Linked DNA regions of Yarrowia lipolytica. The protein of the gene in region 1 purifies or fractionates together with the protein of each later gene. This does not show direct contact. Links are inferred from orthologs where the notes say so. Each region holds a gene or a part of one and is shown in the gene's direction. Other genes may lie near its edges.

Evidence for each region.
Region 2: the proteins of YALI1_D14893g (region 1) and YALI1_E26336g purify together in Saccharomyces cerevisiae (affinity purification with mass spectrometry; 4 studies listed by BioGRID, with this or other methods). This does not show direct contact. The link is inferred for Yarrowia lipolytica from reciprocal best matches to the Saccharomyces cerevisiae genes NOC2 and RPL5.
Region 3: the proteins of YALI1_D14893g (region 1) and YALI1_B13137g purify together in Saccharomyces cerevisiae (affinity purification with mass spectrometry; 4 studies listed by BioGRID, with this or other methods). This does not show direct contact. The link is inferred for Yarrowia lipolytica from reciprocal best matches to the Saccharomyces cerevisiae genes NOC2 and RLP24.

The regions. Positions count from the first base shown.
Region 1 is NC_090773.1:1,485,131-1,496,625, reverse strand, and holds YALI1_D14893g (uncharacterized protein), read left to right. Parts: upstream 1-7,265; coding exon 7,266-9,326; downstream 9,327-11,495. Other genes in the region: YALI1_D14915g (uncharacterized protein), read right to left, coding at 4,378-4,919, 5,032-5,083; YALI1_D14910g (uncharacterized protein), read right to left, coding at 5,101-5,365, 5,424-5,584; YALI1_D14866g (uncharacterized protein), read left to right, coding at 10,022-11,495. UniProt on the Saccharomyces cerevisiae protein: Involved in the intranuclear transport of ribosomal precursors.
Region 2 is NC_090774.1:2,629,081-2,639,202, forward strand, and holds YALI1_E26336g (60S ribosomal protein uL18), read left to right. Parts: upstream 1-4,585; coding exon 4,586-5,581; downstream 5,582-10,122. Other genes in the region: YALI1_E26320g (uncharacterized protein), read right to left, coding at 1,444-2,940; YALI1_E26377g (uncharacterized protein), read left to right, coding at 8,624-10,122. UniProt on the Saccharomyces cerevisiae protein: Component of the ribosome, a large ribonucleoprotein complex responsible for the synthesis of proteins in the cell.
Region 3 is NC_090771.1:1,307,822-1,317,754, reverse strand, and holds YALI1_B13137g (ribosome biogenesis protein RLP24), read left to right. Parts: upstream 1-4,050; coding exon 4,051-4,617; downstream 4,618-9,933. Other genes in the region: YALI1_B13179g (uncharacterized protein), read left to right, coding at 1-1,098; YALI1_B13150g (uncharacterized protein), read right to left, coding at 1,466-2,689; YALI1_B13122g (uncharacterized protein), read left to right, coding at 5,486-5,956; YALI1_B13112g (uncharacterized protein), read left to right, coding at 6,475-8,283; YALI1_B13069g (uncharacterized protein), read right to left, coding at 8,525-9,933. UniProt on the Saccharomyces cerevisiae protein: Involved in the biogenesis of the 60S ribosomal subunit. Ensures the docking of NOG1 to pre-60S ribosomal particles. Activates and recruits ATPase AFG2 to cytoplasmic pre-60S ribosomal particles.

The DNA.
Region 1 (11,495 bases):
AGGAAGGTATCTGATTTGAACAAGAAAAAAAAAAAGACAAAAAAAAACAAAAGACAAACGGGGGTCCGGAATGTGTAAAAATTTTCACCTGCTTTCGAACACGTGTGATTGTTCCGCTCCGTGAGTACAAACGTTGTGACAGCGACATACCGGCGCCCTGACTTGCGAATTATTACGTGTGTTTGGCTGTCTCCAAAAAATACCCCGTTCGGGGCGTATCCACTGATGCCATGCTCAGCTGCGCGTTGAGGGGCATCGGGGTGCGTCTCGTGACCCATAGAGTCACATGGTAAGGTGTAGTGTGCACCTTATACAATAGGATTGTTTGTGTTGGGAGGAAACGCAAAGTCGTAGTATAATTAGTAAAGCTGAGTGTAGGTGTGTTTAGCGAGCTGACAAATGAGTTGGGGTGTGAGGGAAGAGTGTCGGGGTGGGTGCTTGGAGGTAGCTGTTATTGTGAATTGATTTTCTGCGGGAAATTCCGGGTTTTTTTCCGTTTTTCTAATGTGTATTATCTCCTTGAGTTCCCCCCCAATTTTTTTTTCTGCATTATTGCGCCTTTTCGATTTACGGCCCTTTAATATCTCTTTATTACACACCCAAGTCATTAGACCTCGTTAGGCTCCCCAACGGCTCTGAGGGGTAATTTCGGAGCAGGACAAGTGGGTGGGGTGATGTGCTGAGATGTGACGCAACCGAGAACAGGGAGATTTTCGGTGACTGATACAACCCCAATGGCGCGCAATTGGAGCCGACGCCAGCAGTTTACCAGTTTACCGGGGCTGCTGCCACACGACTGGATGCGTCACATTCCGAGCCGGCATTTCCCGCTCCACTTGATTGGGAAATTAGTCACACATTTACTTGAGCCCTTACTGGTCGCCCCTGAAGCTTAATAAACAGCAAAGTGGTGCGCACCAGAGATAAGATAGGGGTTGGAGTGCGGGTTGTACTAGGGCAATTCGGGTGTATGGGGGAAGAAAAAGCAGAGTGAGAGTCCAGCTCTTGAATGACTGCTTGGAAGTTGCCGCCCGGCCTTTCGTCGATTTTACACGATTTATCCCGCACTCCGTCGGCTCTCTATTAAACTCCAGACTCCCTGCTCAAACAGGGGCATGTGGGGATAGACGAAGACGGGCCACATGGATTAAGCATGGGTTGTGGGGCTGCAAAAAGTGCGGCAGCTAAAATGAATAAGCCTGGATGAGGCCGAGCTCCGTCTCCAAACATACTGTCATGTTTGTGGGGAACTGTGTGCGGCTCACTGAACTGTACTATGCTCTTACTACAGGCGCTCATGTGGCTACTCTCACATGATGTTGCCCCACATGATGACGGGTTTGCCACAGGGTGGATCTGCAGGGCTCGATTCCGCATGGAATGACGTCAGTCAGACGATTCGATGCAATTACTGAATCGTAAAGTATCGTCGCTTGGCCACGGGTATTTTTAGCAAGTCCAGTTTCAGTAGCATCCAATGGTGCAATTTTAGTCTGCGACAATCAATGGTCTCACTCGAGCCCGTCTGCCCAAATTGGGCCATATTGCTGAGGCTAGGGCGCAATATGGACGGTGGGGGTGGCTCAAGCTAAACTCCAAGCCCGTAGTTGAGTTTTGAACAATGTCAATTAGTCATTCAAGTAACAACCAACTAAGGGAATTAAGTGGAGTAATTGCTCTCATTCGTACGCAATGGCTTTCAATGACCTTCAATGACCTTCAATGGCGCTCAATGGCGCTCAATCAAACGCAATCACACTCAACCAAGTGCATTATCTTCCAATCGCACCCAATGGCTCTCAATGAGCTCCGTGCGACGACCTTGCTACCCCAGTTGTCGCAATTGACGCTATGGACACCAACAAAAGCCCTCGTGACTACCAACGCGGCCTCAATTACACGCCACCGTGAAATGAACCCTATGTCTATCCACCTCGCGTAGATGGCCCAGGAGCTACAGTATCTTGCACAATCGGAAAATTGCTTGCTAAGTTTAACACATAAAGTCGCGTCCCATGTCTCAAGGGGTGTTTGTTCGTGTAGATTGTGTATTGTAATGTACAAGTACAGTATATTGTGTCATTTCCTTTAGTCCAAAGTTTGAGCCTTGTTTGCACGGCAACTTTGCAACCTGTTCCGGTACCCGTACTAGTCCCGCCGTTGCCCCTGTCGGAAGTGCTCGTAGTATGTTCATATTGTTGAGAAACACGCCGTAAATCGACAAAGAGCGCTGGCTGGCCCAAGTACGACAACTCATTGACCACCTGCCCACCAGTTCACACCCCTTCTCTGGACATCTATGCCTCTGTCGCTCCGATAAAGTTTCCCCTGGCACACTTCTCATGCTTGCTCATGTCGCCAGATATAGATAAGCAAGCATAGCGCATCCCCAACAAACACATTCCTAGGATATAGCAGAGACATGGCGTGAAACTAAGACAGTGCCAAAACCTCTAGACCGGAGCAGGCACCGCACAAAGAACTGTGGCTAGGTTTGTTTGCCGTCACCTGGCCTGAATATCCGTTTTGGTGGTACAATTACTACGGTATGCTACCATACGATACGATGCACGCACCCAGAAAACAAGGGGTACTTGTTTGTATTGCTATAATGGAAAAAGCAAACACTGTCCACTGAGCAATGACCGAGACCGTCACGGTGTATAGTGAATTCCTCACTTGAGCAACTAAACTTCACAAACATGTGCTTTTTCTACACAATCACAATCGATGCACATTCATCTCTCCTGTTTGGGTTGTTTTGGCCCACAAATCGGGTAGAGTTTACAAGGCGGCTGCCTATTTGGGTATTGTAAAGGACAGACCAGGGCTGAGAATGCCAATCTGTACAGCTCCACGGTCGGCGGAGTGTGGCTGGGGCTCCGGCCCTGTTGGTCCATCGAAGCCTACTTGAACAAGAAATGTCGGTCAATTGGCTTCTTGTGGACGCGTTCCAGAGACGTATATCCTTTACTCAAACGCGTCTACAAGTAGGGCTTTAGCGCAAGTTTATCGCGTGGTAAACATGTCTCAAGAGCCTTACAATGGCGAGGCTACCGTACAAGTACGAGTACGAGTACAGTACGAAGATTACCTGGCGTTACCAACCACTACCTGTAGCACTTTTATGAAGCTCAAACGATACAACAGTTAGAAGACTTCTAATATCGTGTATGTATCATCAACTGTTAGGTGGTATATTCTACTGTATGTACTTGTAGCTTCCATATCTCTTGGATTGTTACATAAACGGACGTTGAAAAGGACACTAATAACAACCAGGACATGTGACATAATACTTGGCCCCGGAACTCGCAATGACAGCAACCCTCTTAGCAGGGTAGCATCCTCCTCCACGGAATATTCCCTCTGCAGGGGTAAAAACGGCGCTACCATAGTTGTACACTAGAGACGACTACTGTATGTAGTGTATTAGCCGTGCCAGGAAGTGCAATGATGGACCACTTGGTGAAAGCGATACTTGTACAACCAGAAGAAAATGAGTGTATGTGGAAGGTAGTGTGGGATTTATGGCCTGCATGATAGGAGTAGCCCTGCTAATAGAGAGTGATACCAGATCTGCTTCTCGTTGTATCCGAGTATGTTCAAGATGTTAGTATCGGGAGCACTGTTGCAGAAGTAGATCGTTCTACAAGCCAACCCCAATTTTGAGAACTCACATGCTGGAAGATCCTTATATATTATTCACTCCAAACGACATATCATTACAGTATTGGCAAAGGAAGGCCAAGGGACTCGTTCTTCAGATTCGTCTTTTGAAACGTAAACCCTGCCTTCACTTCAGTCTAGTCACTTGTTTTAGATCATACCCTGTTCGATACCTCGTTGCTGCTGTACTTGTATCATACTACAACATGAGCTCAAGCCTTTAGAATTTCTCAGACACCCCAGGACTTGATCCCTGATCAGCAAAAGACTGGCTTGAATGTGTTCCAACCATTTATGACTACAAGTAGTGTACCATGACCCATCTTTCTCACGAACGGTACCAACTGGACATACAAGTACCACCATGTGCAATAGGGGAAACCCATCCCATCGCACACATCCAGGTGGTGCTCAACTAGTAACACAGAAATCAGGGCTATTCGTACCTCGTGCATCTCTGATCTGTTTGATCCTCGGCCAATCCGTTCTCTCGGGCTTCGAACGCTTCCCGTGGTTTCAAATCGCATGTCTCTGTATCTCATTATTGTTGCCTGGTTTGGATCGTTGTACATGGTTTCAAGTATTCTACGCTTCTCACTGACACTCACTCGCATCACTCGCACCACCAGCTATCGCTCGTGATGGTGATGACTACACCCCCTACTCTATTACACTTCAATCAGTCATATCTATAATACATAACTCTGCTTAAGCAGCTCGGACCTCATCGCACTTGATGGCAATGTGGCCGGGCTTCTTGCAGTTGTAGCACACTCGGCTCTGGGCCTCGCCGCACTCCTTGGAAACATGGCCCATGGAGCCACAGTTGTAGCACTTCTGGCCAACGGTGCAGTCCTTGGACAGGTGACCCTGGCCGCCACAAGAATAGCAAGACTGGGTTCGGCCAAATTTGGGAGGAGCACCGCCGGCGGGGACGCTTCGGCAAGCTCGGGCAAAGTGGCCAGGCTTGCCACACTTGTAGCAGACACCGGAGGGGCCTCGAGGAGCGCCAAACTCGCCACCAATGGGGGCCTCACCGTTGGGGGCAACGGGGGCAGCACCGTCGTGGACAATGGCATCGTTCTGGGGGCACTCCTTGAGGATGTGACCGGGCTGGTTGCACTTGAAGCAAGCCTTCTCCTTGGGCTCCTCAGTGCAGTCTCGGGACATGTGGCCGTCGTTGCCACAGTTGTAGCAAACGGGGTTGCCCACACGGGGGCAAGCTCGCACCTGGTGACCGAATTCACCGCCTGGATGGTTAGTAAAGTTGAAAAAAAACACATGTGACATAATCTCCAGGTGATATCACCCGACAACATGACGTGGGTCTGCTCATTGTCACCACAAAATCAAAACACTCACAGTTGAAGCATGTTCGAGAGTATCCTCGGAATTGCTGGGCCTGTCCTTCCATTTTCTTCTTCTTCGTCTTCACACAACAAACGTCGTCAAGAAATCAAGACTCGCTTCTCTAAAAAATTTCAAACCTTGGGCCTCACACTGCACTGTAGGGTAAGTGAAGGCTAAATGGGCTTGCGGGGTGTAGGAGGCTGCGAGAGCTGCAGAAAGAGGACAAGAGTGGTGTGAGTGGTTAGATGCTTTGAGTGAAGACCCCTGAGGACGCAAAGAAAAGCGCCACTTAGACACGTTTTTCTCACCATGCTCATGAATATCCAATCTAAGCCTGCAGGATTCACTGGGGCATTAACAAGAATCAGGAAAAATTGGGTTCGGGACTTTTTAGCTGCATTTACAGAAGCCTAATCGAAGAGCTGAAGATCAGTGAGGAGGTACAGGCTGTGCGGCTGATGACATGATCTTGTGATGCAAGAGACATCAAACTTACTAAGCGCATCGACAGCATGTATGGTGGGTGGATGTGGGTAATCCTGTAGACGAACGTCCAATGCCCCATCTGGGTAGTTGTAGAAACGTCTGGGTATCGATGGAAAATATCGTAGTGTGGTTATCGAGCTGTTCTTGGGGGTAGGGATTGTTCATTTGTCTAGTCGTTGGTCAAGGGACAGCCGAGGTACTTGCTGGTACTCTGGGATATTGTGGACGGTGTGGGATCAATCAGGAGCGCTTCGATGTCGGCATATTGGTATCGCGTTGGTACATACTTGAACTGTAGTAATCGTTGAAAGAGATGAGGATATCACTATATTCCCCTGGTATCAAAGTGGGGTGAGGGAGGGAGGGGAGGTGAGCACTGTGGGATGAAACTGGGTTATTCTCTTATTTGCGACTTTTATCCGAAGCTCTGATAGTGGATAGATAGCATTGGCATTATCTTGATGAGTATCGCCGAGTTGTCGAAAGATGAGATAGAACGAGATAGTCGGAAATTACAGCACCGGTGACGTAGCAAAAGATGATTCGCTCATCATTGGGGAATTGTCTTCATCGTGTCTTCTGTGTCTGAGTGTTGGTAACTGGGTGTGTTGTGCAATGACCGTACTCCACCACCATGTCGTTTGTCCGTGTTGTCCATACTATCTGTATTTGTGTCTCTGTGTCTCGTCGGTTTGTGTCTGCGTCTATGCCCGTGTCTGTATCTGTGTCTGTGTCCGTGTCTGTGTGTGCCTCCGTATCGTGGTGTCCACCGTGTATCGTATACCATGTCGTTTGCTGATGACAGATTATATATTGGGATAACACTACACACCTTGGTGGACTTCTAGGTTTAGGAAGCACCGTGGTGGTTATTGGATGTAAAATGGATGGAGCAACGAGGCGATAACAAGTACAGGACGGTTACGGGGGACGAGAGTGGTTTGAATGATTTCTGGGAATCCTCTCACATGGTATGGTTTGATAGGTTTCTTCAAAAAAACTAGCAACCCCAATATATTATGTTACTCTTGAGTAGGTGTGCTACAGGTTGTGGTCTAGTACAAGTACAGTAGTTGACTTTGTTGGAAGTTTAGTTAAGAGAACTGCCTGTTGGGGTTGTCTAACGGATGCAAGCAGTCCATGGTAATTAGACGTATATTTACATGTCTCTGACAGTTGTAGAAATATATTGAACAAAAAAATAAAAGGAAATCAAGCTGTTTTTACCCCTACAACAAACTAATACCAACACCCCCATGTTGTTAAATTTAGTTAAAACCTCAACTAAAGTTCACACTCCCAAACCAACCCACGCTAGAAAAATCCTGACCCACATACAGCAAAAGTCGCGTGGGCGCAGTCCATACCGCCGGTACTGGTGTCTTCGTGAAAAGGGAAGCCAAAAAAAATATATTTGCCTTCGACCAGATTTGAACTGATGATCTCAGCATTACTAGTGCTGCGCCTTACCACTTGGCCACGAAGGCGGTTTTTAGCGTTTCGAAATCTGTAGCCTGCACCCCCCGGACGTGGAGTTACAGGTTATGAGTAGAAAATAAGACGTAAATGTGATTCCTGATGGGTCTTATAAACACATATATATGTCAACAGCTGTTTTAACGTGTATAAGATTCCATATCACGTGTCTAAGTTGTCTTCATCAACATTTCGATTAAACTTTCTGCCCGCATCAACTCTAAAAAAATTCGAGATGAAATTTCAAATTGAGCATAAGCACATCTCACTACAAGACAATCACTATGGGTAAGGCATCAAAGGCGACGAAAAAGTTCCAAAACAAGCATCTGAAGAAAACCATAGATAAGCGACGTGTGGACCAGGCTGCCAAGGCCAAGGCCGTCAAGGGTCGACGTCCTGGAGCTAGCGTCTCTGCCGAAGACAAGGTCGAGAAGGCTGCTCCTTCGTTTTTCGAAGACATGTCTGTGGGCGACTTTATGAAGGGTGGATTTGAGGTTCCCGAAAAGAAGGGCAAGGCCGCTGAGGAGGACGAGGACGAGGAGGAACTTGAAGACGAGGAAGACGAGGACGAGCAGGATCAGATTGAAGCTGACGACGACTCTGAAGGAGAGGCCTTCTCTGACGAGGACGAGGCCCCCGAGATGGACGACCCCGAGTTTCTCAAATACCTAAACGACGAGGAGAACGTGGAGGAGGACGCCAACGCCGAGGAGGAGGACAAGGAGGAGGTGACACTGGCCATGGTCAAGAAGTGGGCATCTGCCATGGAGAAGACTCAATCTACCGACGCTGCTAGAAACGCTCTGCGGGCTGCTAAGGCTGCTCTAGCTTCTCAGGAGGATGAGAATGCTACTGCCAACTTCAAATACGTTATCAACGACATCAAGGTGGTCACCAAGCTATTTGATGTGGTCAACAGGTGGGTGCCTGTGGTTCTGACCAAGCAGCTGCCTCTCAAGCAGTCCAAGAAGGGTACCAGCGTTGTCGACGAGGAATCCGCCACCAACAACAAGTCTGCCACAGCTATCATCAAGTCGTATGGAGATGTCCTGCAGCAGTCTTTGAGCACCACCACTGGAGCCGAGGAGACTATCCGGTCCATTGCTGCACTCAAAAAGGTCATGCCCTACATGCTGAGTCATCGAAAGCTCACTAAGAACCTCATCGCCTCCGTGTGCTACATCTGGGGTACCAGCTCTGCCATTTCTGCCCGAGAGGCTGCCTTTGCTCTGCTAATTACTGAGTCCAAGGAGCACTCCGGTACCTATGAGGCCATTCTGAAGGCCGCCTACGGACAGTTTGTCAACTCGTGCAAAAACACCTCGTTCCACACCATGGGCACCATCAACTTCATGAAGAATACCGCCGCCATGTTGTACGCTGTCAACGAGCAGCAGGCTTATCCTATTGCCTTTGACGCCATCCGACAGCTGGCCATCCACCTGCGAGGCTCTCTGACCAATAAGACTGCCTCCAAACACGCCTACAAGGCCGTCTACAACTGGCAGTTTGTGCATTCTCTGGACTACTGGTCCCGAGTGGTTGCCGATACCTGTGACGCCGAGAACGAGGCCACTAAGGGCTCTCAGTCCCCTCTTCGACCTCTGCTATACCCTCTGGTCCAGGTCACTCTTGGAACGATCCGATTAATCCCCTCGGTCCAGTTCTTCCCTCTGCGATTCTACCTGATCAGATCTCTGCTCCGAATCTCCCAGCGAACTGGAGTTTACATCCCTTTGCTGCCTCTTCTCACAGAGCTGCTTAACTCGTCGGTCATGACCAAGCCCCCCAAGTCTTCGGCTCTCAAGCCCCTGGACTTTGACTACGCCATCCGAGCCAACAAGGGCTATCTGGGCTCTCGAGTCTACCAGGAGGGTGTGTGCGACCAGATTGTGGAGCTGGTGTCCGAGTTCTTTGTGCTTTACTGCAAGTCAGTGGCCTTCCCCGAGCTTGCCATTCCAGCTGTAATCACTCTCAAGCGGTTTACCAAACGGTCCAACATCTCCAAGTTCAACCGCCAGCTGCTGACTCTGCTGGATAAGATCGACGCCAACGCCAAGTTTATTGAGCAGAAGCGAGCCAACATTGACTTTGGCCCCACCAACCGAGACCAGGTCAACAACTTCCTCAAGGACCTGGACTGGCAGAAGACCCCTCTGGGTTCCTATGTGGTGGTGCAGCGACAGGTGCGAGCCGAGAAGCTTGCCATTCTTCGAGAATCGCAAGAACAGGACGCTAACGACGGAAACGAGTCCGACCAGGTCGAGCTGGCCGACTTCAAGGACGAGCCCGAACAGCTCAGTGAGAGCGAGGAGGAGGATGAGGACGAGGAGATGGAGTAACCTAGTAGACTATAGACAATGCAATATGAATGAAATCAAGAATACGCGAAGTAGATCCAAAGTGTGTTATGTATGTACACTGCTAGCCAAGATGCCATGGGATAACCACGAGAAAATTTGGCATTAGTAGGTGTACAATACTGTGTTCATCACATCCATACTACAAGTGCAATTATCAAGGAGCTAAAGACAATACCTGTAGTCAGATGGCTGTTCATCAGCAGACAGAGCTAGCTACAGGATGAACAACAAAGATTTTTCAGTACACCTGTTTTCTATGGAATCCTAGTAGATCTCCTGTGCTTGAATCGTCTCTTCTCTTAGTCTGGGCTTCTACAGTAGAATCAACCATTTTCCAACAAACAAATTCAAGTAAATACTTAGAGAGTCGAGCTCCCCAGGTTCGAACCTCTCATGAAGAAAAAAAAAAAAAAAAAAAAAAAAAAAAAAAAAAAAAAACTCATGTGTCATTTGCAAACTGTGTTGGAAATGAAATTAAAAGAATAAATATCGCTTAGATACAGGATGTGACACACATTTTTTCCTCGGTCTTTAGCTTTCCAAATCACCTCTGACTGACTGATATTGTCCAGCGGCAGCATTCGCCACAGTAGACTGCATCTGCATCTGATATGCATGAAATATTGAACCTCTAACTTTTCTGGCAGGATATTTTCCACCGACCTATTCACAATATGAGACTTGCTCGAAAGACGCTATTACGGCCCAGAGTGGGCACTTTTCGAGTAAACACCGCCCCGCTGTTGTGTAAACACTTACATACAGTCTCGAAAACCACTACAGTCACTTCTTTGAGAGCACCGACACTGATCACCAGTTCGTGCACTACTACGACTGCTCCGTCTCGACACCTTTCTACAAGCTCCTCGGTTGAAGAACAGACGGAATGTGCTTCGTGTAACACTCCTTTCCACACCGAGGATCGAGATCAGCCTGGATTTTTCGTAGAGCCCAAGAAAGTCAACATCAAACAGGAAACAGATCGGTTCAACTCCCTAATCGATAACATGAGTGCTGAGAACCTGGAGTTTCTGGCCCGCGAGCAGAATCTAGTAAGCAATGACGAGCCCTTTGACGTTTTTGAGGCGAAGAAATATTACACCCAAAAGGTCAAACTGAAAGGAGAAGGCCCTAGAGTGTGTTTGCGATGTCACGAGCTGCAACGAAACAACATTGATGAGCGTGTTCCGTTTGTCAACCAAGTTAGAGAGGCCTACGAGTTGAAAGAGGATATTCGAAAATACAACCAGGAGATTTTGGACATGATTTCGGCTGAGGCTGACACTGCTACGGTGTTTCTGACTTGTTCCATTCACGACTTCCCTGCCAATGTTCCCATCTTTTTGAGAAAACGACGGAATTTGAAACTCATCCTCACCAAGGCTGAGGGCGTCATCTACGTGCCGCAGATCAATTCAGTCAACGTGCAATTGTGGGCCGCTGCTCAAATGCAGAGCCTTGGTTTCAAAATGTCCGCTGACAATGTCCATTTCTTCTCCGCCGAACATGACAAGTCTGGAGGTCATCACCAATTCTCCATGTACGATCTGCAGCATGAGAAGAATGCCTTCATTGTCGGTTATCCCAATACTGGCAAGACTTCTCTTTTCAATGTTCTCACCGAAGCCAAATTCAGCAAGGACGCCAATGAATTGCGATACGCTCTCCCCAAGAATAGACGGGAGCTCAAAAAGTGGAAGAACACCTCGTGGCACCCTGAACAGACTCTTATGCCGTGCACTAGAAAGATGGGAATGGGCAGGATCACAGATATGCCTGCTTTCAAGCGAGCCAACTCTCCCTGGAGTCTGGTTGATCCCACCAACAATTCTTACCTCACCGACAAAATGATTCTGACTGATAATGCCCGCAAATTTGCCGGTTCTGATATCCACATCAAACGGAACCAGGTTGCTCTTGTGAGCGGTCTGTTTGGAGTTGAAACCACCCCTGACTCCGAATTGCTCGTGTGGACTTCTATTCCCGGTAAAAATTGTCTAGCCAAGCATACCAACGCTGCCAAGGCCAATTTTGTGTGTCGAAAGGGCAAGGATCACGGCAGAGCCCAGTACAACCTGTTGGATATGGGCAAGGAGGATCTTCCTCAGCTGGCTGAGCTTGGTACTGTTTCTTTTGATAAAGAAGACG
Region 2 (10,122 bases), on another chromosome or scaffold:
ACCCCAAACAACAACAACAACAACAATAACAACAACACACCCAGACCCATCTATCAAATCCACCCAACATCTCCTTATTCCCCCTTCTAACCACTCTCCAAAACCTCCTCCCAAGTCTTCTTACCCTACTAGCCCAGTTACCCTACCGAGTCAATTTCTCCATATAAGCGTCCTGCAGCCCAAAATTTCTTCCTCAACTTTCATGTCCTGACGGGGCGTCGCAGAGTCACCAATTGGCTCTGTTTTGGATACCTCGGGCCTCAGTGTCTTGTTTGGGACTAGAGCAATATCTAGTTTGTATCTCCGGCACGGAATTTGCATGAAGTGATCGGTCATAAAAATTAGGACATTCTACTGTTCAATACAGTCTCAAGATGTTGACCCTACTTGTAGGTGTCTCATTTATTAGTGTGTCACGATGGGTCTAGACGAAGTTCCTCCGAGTATGTCAAAGGCTTCGAAGAGCACGTCAAAAAATCTTGTGCAGAACTGCTTGCAAATATAAAAAGATACATGCCTTCGACCAGATTTGAACTGATGATCTCAGCATTACTAGTGCTGCGCCTTACCACTTGGCCACGAAGGCAGGTTTATGCCTTGTAACGGATCGGTGATGGGTCAATCCTCAAGATATCCCTAGGTACGAGCGGGAACCGCTCGTCCTACTCTACAGAACAGTACACCAATAGTACGAGCTCCGGAAGTCGTATAAACATAACTTAACTTACATACTTGCGAGTGGTGGCTATATATACAGGCATCTCAACCCTAACTCTGTAAAGCACGTCACTATCCACGTGACCTAGCCACGCGATACCAAGTATTCATCCATAATGACACACTCATGACGTCCTCCGGACGTCATCATCGTCCAGTCACGTGCCAAGGCACATGACTAATCATAACACCTTATGACTAGCTTCTGAATCGTTACATGCCTATACAGGCAAAGTGGACTTCCAAAACTGAATTCAGATGATTAATCCGGTCAAGAGATGGAACAGAAATAAAACGTGAACAAGCGAACACGAATGTCATGCGCTCTTCTGAACAACCGATGTCGAATCCGAATCCGATTTGCGGGTATAACATTGCCTTTAGCCTCAAGTAGATGAAATGTATTTCCCTAGAATAAAGAAAACAGAATCTTTGGCATTGAAACAAGCCGATTCACTGATGGTGATCTAACAAAAACAGCTTTAATGAGATTAGCTGATACCAATTATATTTATATGACATTAGTCGTGGTCAGAATTATTTTCATTTGGTTTCTGTCACGTTCTTCATGATATGGTAATACGCAGATAGAGGAGCAGAGTATGTACTGTAAGACCAACGTGAATCTGTCGCCAATGACACCACCCTGGGACCATTTTCGGTATATCTGTGCAGTGCCCCTACCGGAATTCAATCATTTCATTAACATATAAATAACAGCCATATTCACAAATACTTATTGAGGATCAACTTGGCTTTGACAATGGCAGTAAGAACATCCTCCTCCTGCTTACAAAGAACTGGCGCCTTTTCATTCTTCTCGTTGTACGAGGACAACACCTGGAAACGCGTCGTCCTCCCCTTCCGAAGATACTCCAGGACATCTTTTGGCGAAAAAGTGTCAGAACCGATCTGAAGGGCCAATTTCACCCACAATTGAGCATGACCATAAAAGGCGTAAAGCACTGGAGAGTAAATCTTTGAAGCTCCTCCTTCCAACAAGCCACGATCAGGGCTGTCACTTAACGCCACCTCTAGTAAATCCATAGCATCATCGTACAACTCCTTCTCCTCTCCTTTAGAAACTCGTTCCAAAAACTGCCCAGCATTGACGACATGTCCTGCCCGTTGAGTGCACCGTTTGATGTACTTATGAAAAATGAAGACAGTGTAGTAATCTGGTAGGTAGACACAGGGGTAGACCTGGGGAATCACCTGATGATGAGTAGCAGTAAAGGTAGTGAATCTGTCGAGCAGGTACCACTCAGCCTTCGGCTCTGCGCCAAAAAATTCGACGTTACTCCGCAGAATTTCGACCCATTTTTCTCGTATGACCATACTCTCCACAAATGCAACCTCCCTAAGATGGTCAATTGTCTCGGGATCGAAATTGGGACCGAAATCTACATCTCCAATGAACAGAGGAGTGATGGGTCGTCCCTTGCCTGGTAGGATTCGGTTGCAGATTTCGGACATGCTGCCGTGGGAATCGTAGAAACTGAGCAAAATGAAAGGGTCAGCCTCGACAATGTCCTGGATCACATGCAAGAGAGGTCGAACGGTTGCCCAGGCACTCAGATGTGGCGCACTGGGGGACCCACTGCATGCCAAGTAGTACCCATAGACTGTCCACAGCGATAACCACAAAGAGGTTCTTGTGTACGACAACAATGGACGTAGATGATCAGAGAGTTTCTTCAGATTTTCATTGTGAGGCACCATGTCTCTCAGCAGATTCGAATCCATTCCTTCGTGTTTTGAACGATCGACAGGTACCTGTGCCACATCGTCCCAACCTTTATGCTCCAATGTGCTTGTCCGAGTTTCCTTCGCTTGTGTTGACGTAGTGTTCGATTGCTCGCCCTCCTCTTCGATATGGTCAATGAGAGATGATCGTAGCACAAGTTTCATGCGTTCTTGGGCTGGTCCCGATCCCTTGGAGAACTCCAGCAAGCGTCTCAGAAGGGCGGTGGCGCGTGCTCCAGGCGTCTTCTGACAGTCGCGTGTTCCCCGATGAACGCTGTTGTACGTCATAGTCTTGACGGTCTCCCCTCCTAGGTGCGAGAGAGGATACGCCGCGAGAGTCATGAGAATGGCTGTTTCTTTGGACGTTGGCAGCTCGACGGGGGTTCGGAGCAGACCCGTCTCGAGCACGCTGAGAGCCTCGTCAAAGATGCATGAGTCAAACAGATGGCTGGCGAGTTCCAGATGTCGATATTCCATGTGTGGTGGCGGCGGAATCACGTCCACAGATCCATATTGGCGTAGAGAACTCTATGCAGGGCCATGCAGGTGGCGGAGATATCGATGGAGCGTGCAATTAGTTACACAAATCAAGAAGAAAAAAAATAAAAAATAGCGTCATTGTTATTCGGGTGATTGAATCATTTTTGTCATTTTTGCTTGTTTTTTCCTCTTGTATATCACTAATACAATAGTTCGTTGACATTCGGGGAGTGGAAAGTAAAAAGCTAAGTATACACTTAACCATATAGTCCCTTTGTTAATTACAGTAGTTGAGATAACGGAAGAAAAGCAACAGCGATACAAGTACCTTATAATGAAATGAATGTATATGCAGAAAAAAAAAAAAAAACCTGGGCAAGTGTCGAAATTTGGGAATGGGCACGGGTCAGAAGAGCATCTAGATTATCAACATTATATCCTCCCTGTACTCCATTGTTGGTCCGGGCATCGTTACAAGGATTCGTGGACACTTCTCCAAGCTACAAGTAGCCTGACGTACAATGATCAATATGGTGTACTAGAAATACCTGGTGGTGTGGACAAAAAGAGAATAAGAAAGATAGTTGACCACTATATGAATATCGGAAGTCCAGGGGCCTGTATCAGCAATCCACTTGAAGTCGTCAACTGGCATGTCCAACACTAAAGTAACAGCACAGATCTTTATATGCCCACCTGGCGTATACAATGGATGCTATGGGGAAGGAAAAAAACATCTTCGGAGTAACATTGATACGTTTAATCCAATTTCAAGCTCCTTGGGCTCTCAGATTGCCCTAAAATTCGTCTGTTGATTCCTTGTACTCGGTTGCACGTATGGTAGACCCACAATCAATCCATTAACAAGATAGTCGCACACCATGGAATGAAAACGAGTACAGTTCTGCAACAGTAGTACTATTTTTAAAGCGATCATCTAGTTATAATTTATATATGCTGTACTCCTCGTGCCACAGATGTCATACTTGTTGAGATATACTACCCAGTGAGTCCACAGCATCTTCTGAGTACATGAACTTGTACATTATAAATTGATAGAATAATATAAATATGAATAAATAATAAATCAAATTTATATAAATAAAAGAATAAGAAATAAATAGTAATAAATTAATATGGGTTTTTTTGTTTTTTTTTTTTTTTTTTGTATAAAAAAGAGTGTACTACAACTCCTAACAAGAGGTTTGGACCCGTGACACACAACAGCGTCATGCAGCACAAATGGGTGGGGGTAGAAGACAAAAAGTATCTCGGTTTTTTCTGAAGTCTTCAGGGGGTTCGATGGAGTCCGATTTTTTCTTCTCTCAAGCGTAAAGATCCGATGAACATATTTATGTGGTTATATTGTGGGTTATTTTCAAATATTCCATTTTTGGCGATTTTATACGATATTTGAGATACTGAAATGTCACATAGGGGTGGAAATAAGGAGCCAAAAGAAATTAGTTTCAATGATATAAAATAAAAATAAAAATAAAAATAAAAATAAAAATACCACTAAACCTCTTGATTATCTATCGCCATTCAATCGACTCTGTATCCTTTTATCATCATATTCCCCTCATTTTTTCATCATTGACCCCTCTCCTATAAATTAAGGTTCAAAATCCACTCTGATCACATGACTTTTCCCTTTTGGGAAAACAGTCACAGGCTTGGAAACTCCCAAGGTCTATTTTTTATAATGGTGAAAAATCCCGTCTCATCTCATCAGTCTTCATCAACAATGTCGTTCAACAAGATTGTCAAGACCTCTGCCTACCACTCTCGGTTCCAGACCCCCTTCCGTCGACGACGAGAAGGTAAGACCGACTACTATGCTCGAAAGCGACTCGTGACCCAGCACAAGGCCAAGTACAACACCCCCAAGTACCGACTTGTTGTGCGATTCACCAACAAGGACATCATCGCCCAGATTGTCTCTTCCCAGCTCAAGGGTGACATTGTTTTCACTGCCGCCTACGCTCACGAGCTTCCCCGATACGGTGTCAAGCACGGTCTTACCAACTGGGCCGCTGCCTACGCCGTCGGTCTTCTTGTTGCTCGACGAGCTCTCAAGAAGCTCGGCCTCGACGAGACCTACAAGGGAGTTGAGGAGGTTGAGGGTGAGTTTGAGCTCACCGAGGCCGTTGAGGACGGTCCTCGACCCTTCAAGGTCTTCCTTGATGTCGGTATGACCCGAACCACCACCGGTGCCAAGTGCTTCGGTGTTCTCAAGGGTGCTTCCGATGGTGGACTTTACGTCCCCCACTCCGCTTCTCGATTCCCCGGTTGGGATATCGAGTCCGAGGAGCTCGACTCCGAGACCCTGCGAAAGTACATCTTCGCTGGCCACGTTTCCGAGTACATGGAGGAGCTTGCCGATGATGATGAGGAGCGATTCCGACAGATCTTCCAGTCTTACCTCGACGACGAGGTTGACGCTGACTCCGTCGAGGAGATCCTCCAGGCTGCCCACGAGCAGATCCGAGCTGACCCCGACCACAAGCCTACCGCCAAGAAGACCAAGGCCGAGTACGCTGCTGAGTCCAAGAAGTACAAGCAGAAGAAGCTCACCAAGGCCGAGCGAGACGCCCGTGTCCAGGCCAAGATCCAGGAGATCCGTGCTCAGCAGTAAGCGCGATTTTCGAATCTGTAAAAATAAAACTTTTAACCCATTTTATGCGGAAACGACTGGCCTAAGACCAGGACATGAAAGCTACCTGTAGATGATTAATACACAGTAATACCCGAGGGACGGAGCGTTAATAACGAGGGAACAATCTGATCTTTACGAGCAAGCAGATTGCAGTTCTGTTTCCCTTCCGAGCTGATATTCATTCAGAATCAACAGTGAAAATTTTGAAGGTTCATGCAGGCGGCTGATCGCAAGGACTAGGAGGAGGTAGATCTGAGAAACACTGACATCATAGTAGATACAGAAGGGTGAAATGTTGAATGCAAATGGCGGGGCAGTCAGTAGTATTACTTTCAGTTTCCATTTCAGCTAAAACTATCTACTATGATGTCTGTGGGGACTCGGTATGCGGACTACTCATACTGTACGATACTTGTAGTCGTTAGAAAGAAACGGGCATGGTGAGTTGATAAAGATAATTACTTGTAGTTGTGTGCATGGAAATGACATCTGAGAATCGTTGGTGACCACAGAACCCATACTTCTTAGACAGACTATACTCTGATTGATACAAGTGTCCCGTTCGCTCTTGTATAGCATGGTATACAACCCTTCATCTGTGGCTACCAGACCAGAACAATCCCGCTTGACAACTTCTCAATTCACACTCAAGTCGGTGACCCTTTTTGATGATCCTGTGTCCACATTTATACCACAATTATCCGTATGGTTCTTGTACAAGTACCATCCTGTGTACAAGTACAGGATGTACTTGTATATGCTCACAGTTTAGATGCTATTACGAACCTACAAGTAGCTTGTACATCAACTCTCGTACAAATACTCGTACAAGTAGTTCATGTTTATAGCATCACTTCTCATCCATGTCTCACCGGTTGGTCTTCCACGGAACACTACTGTGCTTGTTACGCTCACCTCGTGTTTGGGTCTGTGAACGGAGAGAGAGTGGAAATATACTTGTAGCGTTTTGCCAGAAGTCTTCGTGTCGACAGTTTGGTTAATCTCCAGCTTCAGCACTATTGTTCAGGTATTCAGCGTTCTTGTGGGTCGTGTCAGAAGTGCATTAATTCATACTGCCTCCATGTACTCGTACTGTACTTTCACGGGTACTCACCGAAGATACTGTCAAGTCCATGAATGGGCGTCTCACATATCTGCCGGAATGGCGAGTCAATTCTTCACACTCTATAACTTCCTCATTCGGTGGATGTCTCTTGTACAATAACAGCAAGTTGGTGGAGTTATGAGTGTATTTTCGGGGGGACAGGCAGGGCAGCAATACCAGAACACTCATACTGCTGCTCTGCCAGTATCATGAAGTTTTCATTGTCAACAGCCTTGATATCCGTCACCAGTCTTAATTTTTGCCAATTTCCTCCAATTTCCTCCAATTTCTTCTTTCTTCTGTAATGCAGAAAAAAACTCCGCATCCACTTTAGCCGACTCTGGGACGCGCACTGCATTAGCGAGCGGTTTAGCGACCGAGTACATACTGTAGCTTCTGACGTACCTGGCTACAGGTACAATGAGCCGCGCTGTGAGCTCAAATCAACACCGAGGATCGCTCAGTCATCGCCAAATTGTTGCTTCTCCGCGTCGCTCCAGCCACGTGACCTAAGTTTGCTCATTTTTTTCGTCCCGCTCTCTCGTCACGGACCTTTTTTTCAACATGCACCAAGTGTCGTTCTATTTTTGCTGTTTGTCTCATTCCGGCATGTCCTGTAGCAATATGGCAAAATGGCGGGGCAACAAAGAGGCGCGGGACATGGGCTTCAAGACACAAAAGCCCGGGGCAGAGAAGATGTGAGCGTCAAAGAGGACAAACAGGTGGTATGGCGCGAGTAGACACGACCGGGATGCTTGCGCATCTCAAACGATACCGTTTTTCTCCCCGGATGCTCGTCTCGTATTGCGCAAATCGCTCAAAAAGGCCTGAACTCTTCTGCAAACGGATTCGGGGAAGTCTAACCCACTTTGACCTTCCCCCACTTGTTTTTTTGGGCTAGACTAATGTACAATGCGTCTTTGTTTTTGTTTCACCTTGGTAGGGTTAGAAAAGAGCACGAGTGTGAGTGAAAAGCTGGTCCTTAGACTTGGTTAATATGGCAACCCGTGGACGTGACCACCGTCCGAACCGTGCGAAGAGGGCCGCTTCCACTTGTACAGCGCACTTGCCCAATAATACAGCGGTGCAGACCAGCTGCTGGGATCGTCGAGATCGACATGGGTATAGAAAAAGAAGACAATATGGACGGCCAAATGGCAGATAATACGGGCAAAAAAACAACCAACCAGAGGGGCGGTAACGGGACCAGTCTACAGGGCCCCTACTCAGCAGTACCAACTCCAGATTCACAGCCCCTTGGCCCTCTACATACCTCCAGAGCACATGTCTCACCTAACATTCTTGTTGACCGACACCAGCAACTTTATTGGTGGGCAATCCGGACTCTAGTCACTGGCCGGCAAAGGTGGAGCTATTGTAGGTCGCAAACTACCGCTAAAGTACAGTAGTGCGATGGTACGGCTGAAAATTATGCCGGTAAAACGGAGCTGAAGCTGCTGTTCCTTTTCCGCTCCAGGAGGCCGCGGAGGGTGGTGGTGTTGGTGTCACTGTCAATTCGTTCCCATCTCCAACATGTATATTTCCATACACCTCACATTCAACCCAAAAGTCAGTATTCTCCGCCCCACTATAACTTTAACAAGCGAATGTGCATAACATAAACAACACAACAGGGTGTGTATATCTGGAGATGTGGGGGAAATATTGGGAAACGGATGCAGTAGATTTATTTTTCACATCAAAAAGGCCCTATTTTCGTCTTTACCACCTCCTCACAGCCCTCCAAACACCCGCTGTCAGCCACCCCCCCCACACAACCCTTGCACCACCGGCGAACCTTGCTTCGAACCTTGCGACCCCCTGGCGCTCCGGCCCCCTCACCTGTTTATAAGAGCTGGACCCTTTAGATTCGTGCTCACGGCCCCCATCGACTACTCGTACCCACCACACTCGTTATGAAATCTCTATTGCTGTCGCTGCTGGCGGTCCCGGCCACCGCCCAGCTACTGCTCGACCTCCAGGGCCACGATACCACCGACCCCCGGCACCAGTCACAAAACCACCTGACCAAGCGAAAAACCGTGGAGCAGGACCTGGTCCAGAAGTTTGCCTACTACGAGGCCACCGTGTCTGTGGGCACGCCCGGCCAGCAAATCAAGCTGCTGCTCGACACCGGCTCGTCCGACATGTGGGTGCTAGGACAGAACGTCAACTGCGGAGGAGGAGGAATCTTCAGCCAGGGCATTGACTGCACCCAGAGCGGCGTTTTCGACACGAGCAAATCGTCCACATACCACAAAAACGAGTCCATCCCCTTCGACATCAAGTACAGCGATGGCTCCGAGTCCAAGGGTTTCTACGGAACCGACAACCTCGGACTAGGTGGAACCACCCTCAACGACTTCACTTTTGCCGTTGCCGACTCGGCGTCCGACGGACAGGCCGTGCTGGGAATCGGCCCCATTGAGAACGAGCAGTCTCTGTACACCGACAACCCCGTAGCCTACGCCAACTTGCCACTGGCGCTGATGATGGATGGCGTTACCAAGTCGTCGGCCTTCTCCCTCTGGCTCAACGACAAGGACGCCCTCAAGGGCTCGATTCTGTTTGGAGGCTACGACCGGGCCAAGGTGGACGGCGACCTCTTCACCGTGCCCATCGTCAACCTCAACCCCGGAGGACAGGGCCGGTCCCGAGAGTACAACGTGGGTCTGGACAGCATCACCGTGGGCGGCAAGTCCGTCGGCTCCTCCACTCCCGCTCTGCTCGACTCGGGAACCACCCTGTGCAACCTGCCCCAGGAAATGGTCGACGCCATTCTCGCCCAGTTCTCCGGCGTGTCCAACTCCCTGCGAGCCGGCTACTACACAAAGTGCTCCAACGTGCCCCAGGGCTCCATTGACTTTGTCTTCTCTGGCAACAAGCTGACCGTCGAGCTGGCCGACCTCATGAAGCCTCTTGAGAACCCCGACGGCTCTAAAATCACCACCGACGGCGAGCAGGCCTGCGGCATTCTCGTCACCTCCAACACCGACTCGCATTCCATTTCCGACTCGGTCGTCCTCGGTGCCTCGTTCCTGCGGTCTGCCTACGTAGTCTACGACCGTGACGCTCAGAAGATTATGATGGGCAAGGCTAAGTACGGAGTGTCCAGCAGCGACATTGTCGAGCTTAAGGACGGCTCCAGCGAGGGAGTTGCCTCTGCCGAGTCCTCTGCTGAGTCCGCGGCTGCCACTGCCTCGTCTTCTGCTGGTGCTTCTTCTGGTGCTTCTTCTTCTGGTGCTTCTTCTGCTGGTGCTTCTTCTGATTCTTCTGCGTCTGCTTCTGCTTCTGCGTCTGCTTCTGCTTCTGCGTCTGCGTCTGCAACTGCCACTTCCGAGGGCGACTCTGGCCAAGGAGTTTCCACCATGGCTGTTGTTGTGCGACCCAGTGACACCCGACTGTCCGCTTACAT
Region 3 (9,933 bases), on another chromosome or scaffold:
AAGGAGGGCGACGAGTTTTCAGCTGGTGATGTCATCCTTGAGATCGAAACCGACAAGGCCCAGATCGACGTCGAGGCTGCTGACGATGGAGTCATGGCCAAGATCTACAAGAAGGACGGTGACAAGGACATTCAGGTCGGAGACACCATTGCTGTGATTGCTGAGCCCGGAGATGACATCAAAACCATTGATATTCCTGCTCCTGTCGAGTCGGACGGCAAGCCTGCTCCCAAGGAGGAGGCCAAGGAGGAGGTCAAGGAGGCCCCTAAGGAGGAGGCTAAGGCCCCTGCCCCTAAGGCTCCTTCTACCCCCAAGGAGGCTCCCAAGACCGAATCGTCTTCTGCTCCCTCATCATCCGGCTACTCTGCCCCCGCTAACCCCGCACAGACCCTTCTCCCTTCGGTGTCCTCGCTTCTTGTGGCCAATGGCATCTCCAAGGAGGACGCCTTTGCCAAGATCAAGGCCACCGGTCCCCACGGCCGGCTTCTCAAGGGCGACATTCTCGCCTACCTCGGAAAGGTCCCTGAGGGCTCTCCTGGCGCTGTTGCCGACGAGATTAACAAGCGATCCCATCTCGACTTGTCCAACATCAAGCCCGCCAAGAAGAGCGATGCTGCTGCTCCCACTGGGGCTGCCAAGGCTGGAGATGCTGCTGCTCCTGCTACCAAGGCTGCTCCCGAGCCTGTCATCTTCACCTCGTTCCTCGATGTGGCCCACTTTGAGCCCGAGGACCAGCTCGAGCTGCAGCGAATCGTCAAGCAGGCCATCAAGCTGGCCAAATACGACGCCGTGGAGCTCGCAAAGCCCCGCCGATCCGCCAACGTGGACCCCGACTTTGAGGCTATCATCGGCCCCGCCAAGGGCACCAAGTTCTACGACGTGAACGTCATCTACCCCAAGTCCACAAAGCGGGCTCTCTCCAATGGGGCCGACCTGTATGACATTCTGTCGGACCGAAAGCCCCGAAAGGCTGCTGTCCAGGTGCCTTCCAACACTGTGCAGGTCGATGTAACAGTCAACGACAAGGTCCCCGGTGCCGAGAAGCGAGCCAAGCTTTTCTTGAACAGACTGGAGTATCATTTGACTGTGGAGGAGTAGGAGAGACAATGTCGAGCATAAGATGATACAGCACATAGAGTGTGCTATACAGTATAACGAAGGATATATATAGGTAGGGTAAACATGTGAATGGTGGTGAAGAGCATTTGCTAAGGGGTGCTCTTATTGTAGCGTTCCTTGATGGTATGACTGTAACTCAGTAATTCAGGTCAACTACATATGTACAGTATGTATGTAGTATTGTTCTTACATGATACATTCGTAGTAAGGGTATTCGTTTTCAATTTTACAGAGCATTCCCTTAGCTCGTGCTACAAGTGCGTTGGGTAAGGATGATTTGCTACGCCTCATGATCTTCGCTCCCCTCGTGCTCTTCGGTTAATCAGTTACTATATACACAACAAGATTATTGCTTCTTCTTGTTCTTCAACTTCTGCTTATGCTTCTGTTGCCAGGTCAACTTTGTCTGGGGCTCTTCAAGCGCCTTCTTTTTGTCCTCCTTTCGCTTCTCCTTAATGTCCTCCACAAGCCCGACGGTGTTAGCCTTGAGGGTGTTGAAGTCGCGCTCAAAGCCGCGCTTGTACTCGTTGATATAGAAGGACTTGCCCTCCTTGAGCTTTCGCTCGGCCTTGGCGGCGTCCTGGATTCGCCAGTGCTGTTTGATCTTGTCGTCCTCAGACAGACCCTTTTCGGCCTCCTTGATGGATTTCTTTCCAAACAGTACATCCCATACTCGTCCGTCGCCCCAGAACCAGCCGGATCGATCGACCACCCAGGGAACCCAACTCTTGCCTTCCCAGATGAAGAAGAAGAAGGATGACTTGGAGGCGGTACCGTAGAAACCGTCCTTGGTGAAAATGGTTGTCCTCTCTCCACATCGCAGCTGGTTGAGGTTCACTGTGTAGACGGGAGAGGGTCTACCAGGAAGATAGGGGTGGGTCACAAACCGAATGTGATCCACGCCCTGCATGTGCTCGGGAACACCCTTCATGTAGGTGCCAGGAAGGTAGTACAGACGTCGGATCAGTCTGCCAGGGAAACGAGCAAGAACGTAGGACATGAAGAGGAAAATGGAGGTAAAGGCAATGGGCACAGCAGATCTCAGTCCAAACTTGAACATCTGGTGCACAAATGGCTCGTCGGTGGGGTTCATCTTCCAGTCCATGTAGGCAGCACTCAGCAGGTTCTCTCCAAACATGATTCCGTACAAAGCCAGCACAAACGAGCCACAGAAACAAATGACAAAGTAGAGACGGTGGGGCTCGGCTTCGTACAGCAACTCGGGCTCCTTTTTGTTTTTCAGGATCAGCATCATTTCAGTGAAAGAGAGCCGAGGGCCGACCACAGGAGTGTCGGGTTTGGGAATGATGGTCGGCTGGGCCTCCTTACCGAGAGGGAAAGATGGGATTCGAGATCGCAACGAGTTGCTTCGAGGGTCAATAGGATCGATATCTCGGGGCAGATCAGAGTCGGTCTTTTTGCCTCGAACAGCCATAAGAACAGGGACAGCTGGAGCTCGAGAAATGGGCCGATTCACAAGCATCGAAAGCGGTCGCAGATGCTGCTGAACCAGCGACTTGCCGGGCGAGGCCAAGAGACCCCGCCTCGCCGTGTTCAAAACGAGAAGCATGGTGGTTGTGATTTTGAGTAATAGCAGGCAGATATTTCTGGCGGTAGGAGGTGCATGTTGGTTTAGGGTTAGGGTATGGGGATATTTGACTGGTAAAAAAGTACTCCGCAACGGAGAATTGAACTCCGGTCCCCCGCGTGCTGGTGTAAACCTGACAGGCGGAAATTCTAGCCACTAAACTATTGCGGAAGATGGAGTAAAAAGTCGTTAAAATAATATGTTGCAAAAGATGTAAAAAAAGAGAAATTTGGCTGGTTTTAGGGGTTTTAGTGATAGTAAAACCCTTTTTGTCTATTAATTATTCAGAATCCGAAATATTCAGGCTTTTAAATCCAAATATGAGGGTGTTATGATGTCTATAAGTTTCCAGTGAAAACTCCATATACAGTAGATAGAAGTATGACTCGAGATAAAGGACTACTAGAAGATATATAAATGTACAGGAACATTTAATTATGTGAATAAAGCATATAAATGAACTACATGTTCAATAAAAATCATGTCTGAGCTGTGGAGGATCAAAATTCTAAACAACTAGCGCAAGTGAACGAGGTAAGACACATAAATGAGGTAATGGAGGCCTAAAAACTTCAATGAATAACGATTTGAGGTTTACCCAATTGGTTTGTTGACTATTCAATGACGATTCGTCTCATTATGCTCTTAAAAGGTCCCTTTCTTGTATCCACTGTTTGACCATAGGGATGTATACTCTTCAGCAGCAGAATCTTCTGTGTGTTGATGATGAGATCACGAGAGTGTATTTATCAGTTCAGAAACATCACACAAGCACAAGTACAAGTACCTCGTTTACAATTTAAAGACTCTTGTTCATAGCAAGTATTAGTACAAGTAGACAAGATGCCTCTGATTCATTCTTTTGAGCAAGTCAAATATGTGAAGTACGGGTCATCAGGAGTGCTCAATTCTAGCCGCAATGCGTTTTTAAGAGCCATTGACACCTCTCTAAATCTGCTCTCTATTTGTAGACTCCATAAGACGCTTTTCGATCAACTCGTTCGTTCCAAGCCGCCTTGTTCTTAGTAAGCGGTGAGCTTATAGCGGGACTGCATTTATTTGGATTTATTTGGATTAAATGAGATAAAATCCGATAAAATCCGATAAAAATCGACAAAATAGGCAAAACGGAAATTGACTGAGATTTATCACGTGGATATTTCAATGAGCATGTCACACTCATTGTACCTCTCATATACAACACATTATCCCTGTTCGCTTACTCTCGCCACAGACTTTGGACGTGCAGAATTTTCAAACTCAAATAAATATTTTTGACATAGAGTGCATGCGGAAGATTTCGTTCATCATCATACACAACCTCACAACCGCACAACCACAAAATGCGAGTGTACAACTGTCATTTCTGCTCGTCGCCAGTGTATCCCGGTAAGGGAATCATGTTCGTGCGTAACGACTCCAAGGAGTTTCGTTTCTGCCGATCCAAGTGCCACAAGAACTTCAAGATGAAGCGAAACCCCCGAAAGCTGCGATGGACCAAGGCGTTCCGAAAGGCTGCTGGCAAGGAGATGGTGGTGGATTCCACCCTGGCCTTCTCTGCCCGACGAGACGTGCCCGTGCGATACAACCGAGACCTCGTGGAGAAGACTCTGGAGGCCATGGAGAAGGTGGAGGAGATCCGGCTCAAGCGAGAGCGGGCCTTCTACAAGAACCGAATGCGGGGCAACAAGGCCGCCCAGCTGGAGGAGGACCGAAAACTGGTCGAGGCTCACCCCGAGCTGCTGCGAGAGCGAGAGGTGGAGCTCCGACGAATGCAGGAGGCCGGCGAGGACGACGACGACGAAGACATGTCCGAGATGGAGGTGTCCGAGGAGGAGGAGTCCGAGGAGGAGCGGGAGAAGGTCGAGATTGCGCTCAAGTCCAAGAGCAAGCGAAAGATGCGAGCTTGAAGAAAACGCACCAGAGAATATTAAGTTATTGCATGGGGATGTTGGCAAGCCGATGTGTCTTGTTATTATGACTAATAGATTATTTACCGAACGAACATCGGGTTTGAAGAACGACATGTGGTTCTATTGAGAGCGCACTTGTGAATCGACCTGAGAGGAGAGCGTGCAAACGCGGTACTAGTGTGCATTGAGCGAAGACCGAGTGTGTCTTCGTGAACTCACTGTTCCCTGCGGACGACTACCGTAGAACACAGCATGAACGAAGGGAAAATACTCCTTTTTGAAGCAAACATCGGAGCGTTTTATGTACTTGTAGTTTACAGTACATGTAGTCTTGTATAATGGTTAGGGAGACTTTGATGCTACTAATCGTGAGATGAGAGGATAGTAGAGGTGGTTCTGTTCACTGTCTATGTGTCTTTGGAGTCGATCAAGTCTTTATACCCCAATTGCCGTTTCTTCTGGGTCTCGGGACTCAAGAAAACCGGACTTACATCTCAACATCTCAACATTCATTATAGAGCCACAATAATAGGTTGCGCGTACCCATCTTGTCTTGGGCTATCATTCGATACCATTTTTACTCTTTTTCAAGTCTCATCATGCCATGATAGAAACCCCCCTTCTCTTCTACAGTACAGTACATACTGTAGTTTATGATACTTGTTAAGGTTGCAGTATATCTACATCATAGCTGTTCAATCTTGCTCAGTTTTCTTTCGATTTGAATATACTCACCTTCAACATGGTTGCGATTCCTGGAATATCCCCCCGTTGAAATTCCATCTTCCTCCCTCCTCTGCATGCCATTCTACCACCTCCCTCATCTTTTCAACATCGAACCTAATCCTCCACTCTTCTTCACCCCATGTCACAGACAACATCAGTGACCCGGCTGGCTCGTCTGGTGGCCGGGAAAACGACGGGCGACAGACGCGACATTTTCCGCGACTCGGTGCGCGTTTTCGGCGTTGTTCAGTCGCATGAATTCGACACTCTACGGCTCAAGGAGGTGCCAGAGCTGCACGCGTTGATGAAGGCCCAAAAGCTGCGCCAGGGCATCGAAGACAAACGTCCCGAGGCAGTGGTGACCCTGAGCATGGCTAAGAGCGGTCTGCACGAACATCTCATGGAAGGAACCATGATCATGGTGTACATTGTGATCCCTAGACACATGGTGGTGGACAATGAAGAGGACTACGGATTGCCACCCTCGTATGTCAACATTGATGTCGTGGCGGTGAACGTGCTGAGCCAAATGGGAATCTCGCCGCAGCAGGCAGATGTCATGCTCAAACTGGTTAGACAGGAGGCCCTCAGATTGGGACAGGAAAGTTGAGGGTCCCGATTTCCGGGTCTCACAACTCAACCTACGTGCGCGGTCAAATTGTCCATATTTTTCATGAACACGGGTTGTCTTAGCTAATTGAGCTATGTTCGAGACTCCGCAACTGCTACAGTGACCTAAAGTGACTGTGTCTTGTCCTCTCCATTCACTGAGCGACTCGAGCTACTGGGTGATCACGTCGCTCGGACAACTGACTGTGACTGCGTGATATGTCGCGTGAACGCAGTATTCTCACCATTTGATCCAGCACCCCAGTCGTGTCTGTCATTGTTCATTACAATCTCTGATACGATGAATCCCGACATTTACTAACTTGCATTGAATATATTTATTGTCATGAGCGTGTCAGCTCAAGTGAGTCGTTGTAGTTTGACCCATCTTTGTACTGTAGTCTCCTGTTGTCTCACACTCATCCTGTTGTTCGATTTTTGCAATCTGTATTGTCACCAATCTCGCAACTCACTTCTCCCAAGGTTTATCGTCATCTCACTCGTCCTTATACACACACTATGGATACCCCAGATGCCAGTGAAACCCGAGCTAACGTGTTGGATCTCATCTCTACTCTCGGAAGACACAGGGCCGAGCATGAAGAGCAGCTGCTCATTGACCTAATGGCAAGCATGGAGAAATTCAACAAGTCCATGAAGGGGCTGATCGCGGAGATTCCCTTCTGTCCAAGCGCTACGTATGCGGAATGCTGTGATCGGGCCCTTCAGCTCAGGACAGGCTACGATTACATACGGGACACAGAAAGGGCTAGTCGAAACGCCATGCTGGATAAACTGCAAGAGCATCTTTCCGTGCTGGATAAGATGAGCCAGGTACTTGCTGCCTACGGGGAAGAGACGGAGCTAGTTCAGGTCAAACTCAAGTGGGATCTCATTAACCAAAATGCAACAGGATTCGCCCAGCAGGAACAAATCATGTTGCAAACCGGTCTGTTGAAAATCATGCGCGGCTGTGAGAACGAAGCTGGTCGCCGGCAGTTTTGGGAAGACCATCTGGCACCATTTGGAAACCACGTGGTACTGGACAGAACGGTAAGGCCGATCTGCATGACCTCTTCAGATGCCACCAGACCTGAAAGCACCGCAAGCATCGGCTCCTATCTTCCCCAGGAAATCATGAGATTGATCTATGAAGCTGCCGACCTAGAAACATGTGTCAGTCTTCGGGAAGTCAGCTCAGCATGGTACACCGCGTTCCAAGAGGTCGATTTCCGAGCCCAGATGAAGGCTCGGAACCCGTGGACCGAACCCGTGGATGACTTCAACTCATGGACAGATTGTGTGTTGGTGTTTGTTGCTCGTCTCCGATCATGGCAGTCGGCAGAGTCCGTAGACGACATTGACGTGTCTGCAAAGAAGGAGGAACGCAGAACTGTCATAGGACTCGAAATCAAAGGTGATGAACCCCTGCCCAGCAACTTCACGGGCTTGACGGACAACTCGGGAGATATCTTAACCGAGTCCATAAAAGTGGGTGGCGATGAACATACCTATGTGAGGAGTCAATTGACGCTAGAGAGTCTCGAACACGAAGTGTTCCCTGTAGTGGTGGCTGAGGATCACGACAAAACAGTCATCAAGTGCAGGGATCTCGAGGTGACCCTTCCACCCTCCATCAAGTCCCAGGACTTTCTCGAATTCGAACCTCTGACCATTACCGAGTCGTTCGTGGCCCTGTACCTGAATACAGGTCAGGTTTACGCAGTTCCTCGAGACAAGCCTCACTTTGATCACGGTTTCTACTTTCACGGAACAAGTGAAGAGCCAAGAGAAATGGGTGGTGTTCTTGTAACAACAGAAACACTCCGGGAATGGAGACAGACTGATCGGCGCCAATTCTGGTTAGCCAACTTGGAAACACGGCAAATGGTAGATTATGCGGCAGTTTCACAAGACTCAAGCCCCGTCGCATCCTACAACGGTCTCATTTGGTGGAAGAAGGGAGTTCCTTCGAGACAGTTTGTAGTTCCTACCTTTGTGGACCTCGCGTCTCCGGACCGGGTGTACTATCGAGCCGACAGTGCCATCACCGGGCTGACCTCATTGCAAACTCGACAAGGCAGTGTATCGCGGAACTCCACCCAATTTGTCCTAGGAAAGACGGGCCTCATCTCAGGTCTGCACGTTATCGATTTGGCCTCTGGAATTGTGACCGATATTGTGACTCCCCGTGACTGGCAACGGCAGAACCACATTGAGGTCTTTGCCGGCTTCGTCGACTACAATTTCCAGGCGAGAATCATGGGCGCAGAGGAGATTAGGGACATGCATCACGAGGTGTTGCAACAGATGGAAGGACAAAGATGATATACTCGGTTGGTGCTATACTGTAGGAAATTCGAATCTCAGACACCTTGGGTGGAAGATGTTCGAAATAACCAGTAAATTACTCGTAACTGGGTAGCGCGTAGAACCTTCTGTTATGAGGTTCTGAAATGTGCATTGTTTGTACTTATATTTATAATAGATACAAAAACCCACCCAGTCTTCATTCACAATCGCTCGTGGACATTTGCTTAGCTCATGCTCGTTATAAATATTCTATACACTACCTAGGACCTCCTCCTGCGCCCTCCTTAAAATACTGATCCCAGATACTTCCCAGAGGAACCTCACTCATGAGCGAGTATAAGTCCTCCTGCTGTGGCGAGACTTCTCCCGAGTATGCATACGGCAGAGGCTCCTCCAGAGACGCCGTCATCTCCATATTGGGCGGGTTTTGAGCCTCCTTGAAAAAGTCGTCAAGGTCAGGCACAGGCACCTCCACAGGCTTTTGGTGTTTTTTCCTTCTATCGTCGTTCCAGTTGTCGGGAACCTGTTCCACCAGCGCTCCCAGGTGGCTGAACCGCTTGTCGTGGTTTTGGATCACTTCCACTAGTCCATCTTTGCTCACTTTGCGAAGCACACTGCCTCCCTTGAAGCACATTTTGAATACTGCTGCAGAGAGGAGCTCAAAGGTGTCATGGCACACCTGAGCAGCATTACATCGGCCAATCAGCGAATCCAGAACCACCACACACTGTTTAGACACCGTTTCGTAGTCTTCTCTGCTAATTAGCTGCTGGCCAGACACCAACGAGTTATACACGGCATAAAGAAAGCATGTACCGGCAATAAACAGGTTGTGAACAGCCACCCACGTGTAGTTGATAGACATGATCTGGTGTAGACTGTGGTACTTGGTCATGATGCCCTTGCTAGCCTCTAGCACACATTCCAGAGAGTAAGCTGAAGGAGAAGGGTTCTTGGGGCCCACTCCATACAACAGGAGACGCGATTGGTGGTAATTGAGTGCAAAAAACGTGGTGGTGAAACCGCAGTTGGTCTGCAAGTTTGTGTTTGGACACGAGTCCATCCACTCGTCCAGCCGGGTACACACGTCCTGAAACCAGTCTGCAAACGTCGCAAACCGTCGTGGAATCTCGGTGAACTCAAACATCATGCGTTGGATCTCGGCCTGGATCTGTCTGACCCTTGCAAAAGCCAGAGAAATGTACTTATACGACTTGATACCGCCTGGCGACGTCATAAGCGAGTAATCGACGTTGTTTCGAGGCACAATGAGCGAATCGTCGAGCTCGGAGAAGAAGGGCACTCGGATCGAGTCTTCGGGAATGCCAAAGGGGCGGCCTAGGTAGACACAGATTTGCCGATCAAGCATATACGTGCACCAAAAGAGCCGTCTTCGCATATCGAGGTCGAACCCGTCGGTCACTCGGTTGTTGGAAGTCTCAATGTGCAAGCCCAGATCTATGCACAGTCTCAGGGCCATACTAAGAGTGTACCAGACTCCTGGAACGGTGGGACGCATGATGGAGAAGAGACAGAGCACCAGCATGGCTTGTAGCGCTTCCAGACGATTAGCACTGGCAAACGCAGAGTCTATATGTTCCATGGCTGCTTGGTGGTACGATTCACTCACTCCCGCGGGGTACAGTTGTTGGTGCACGCTCGTTG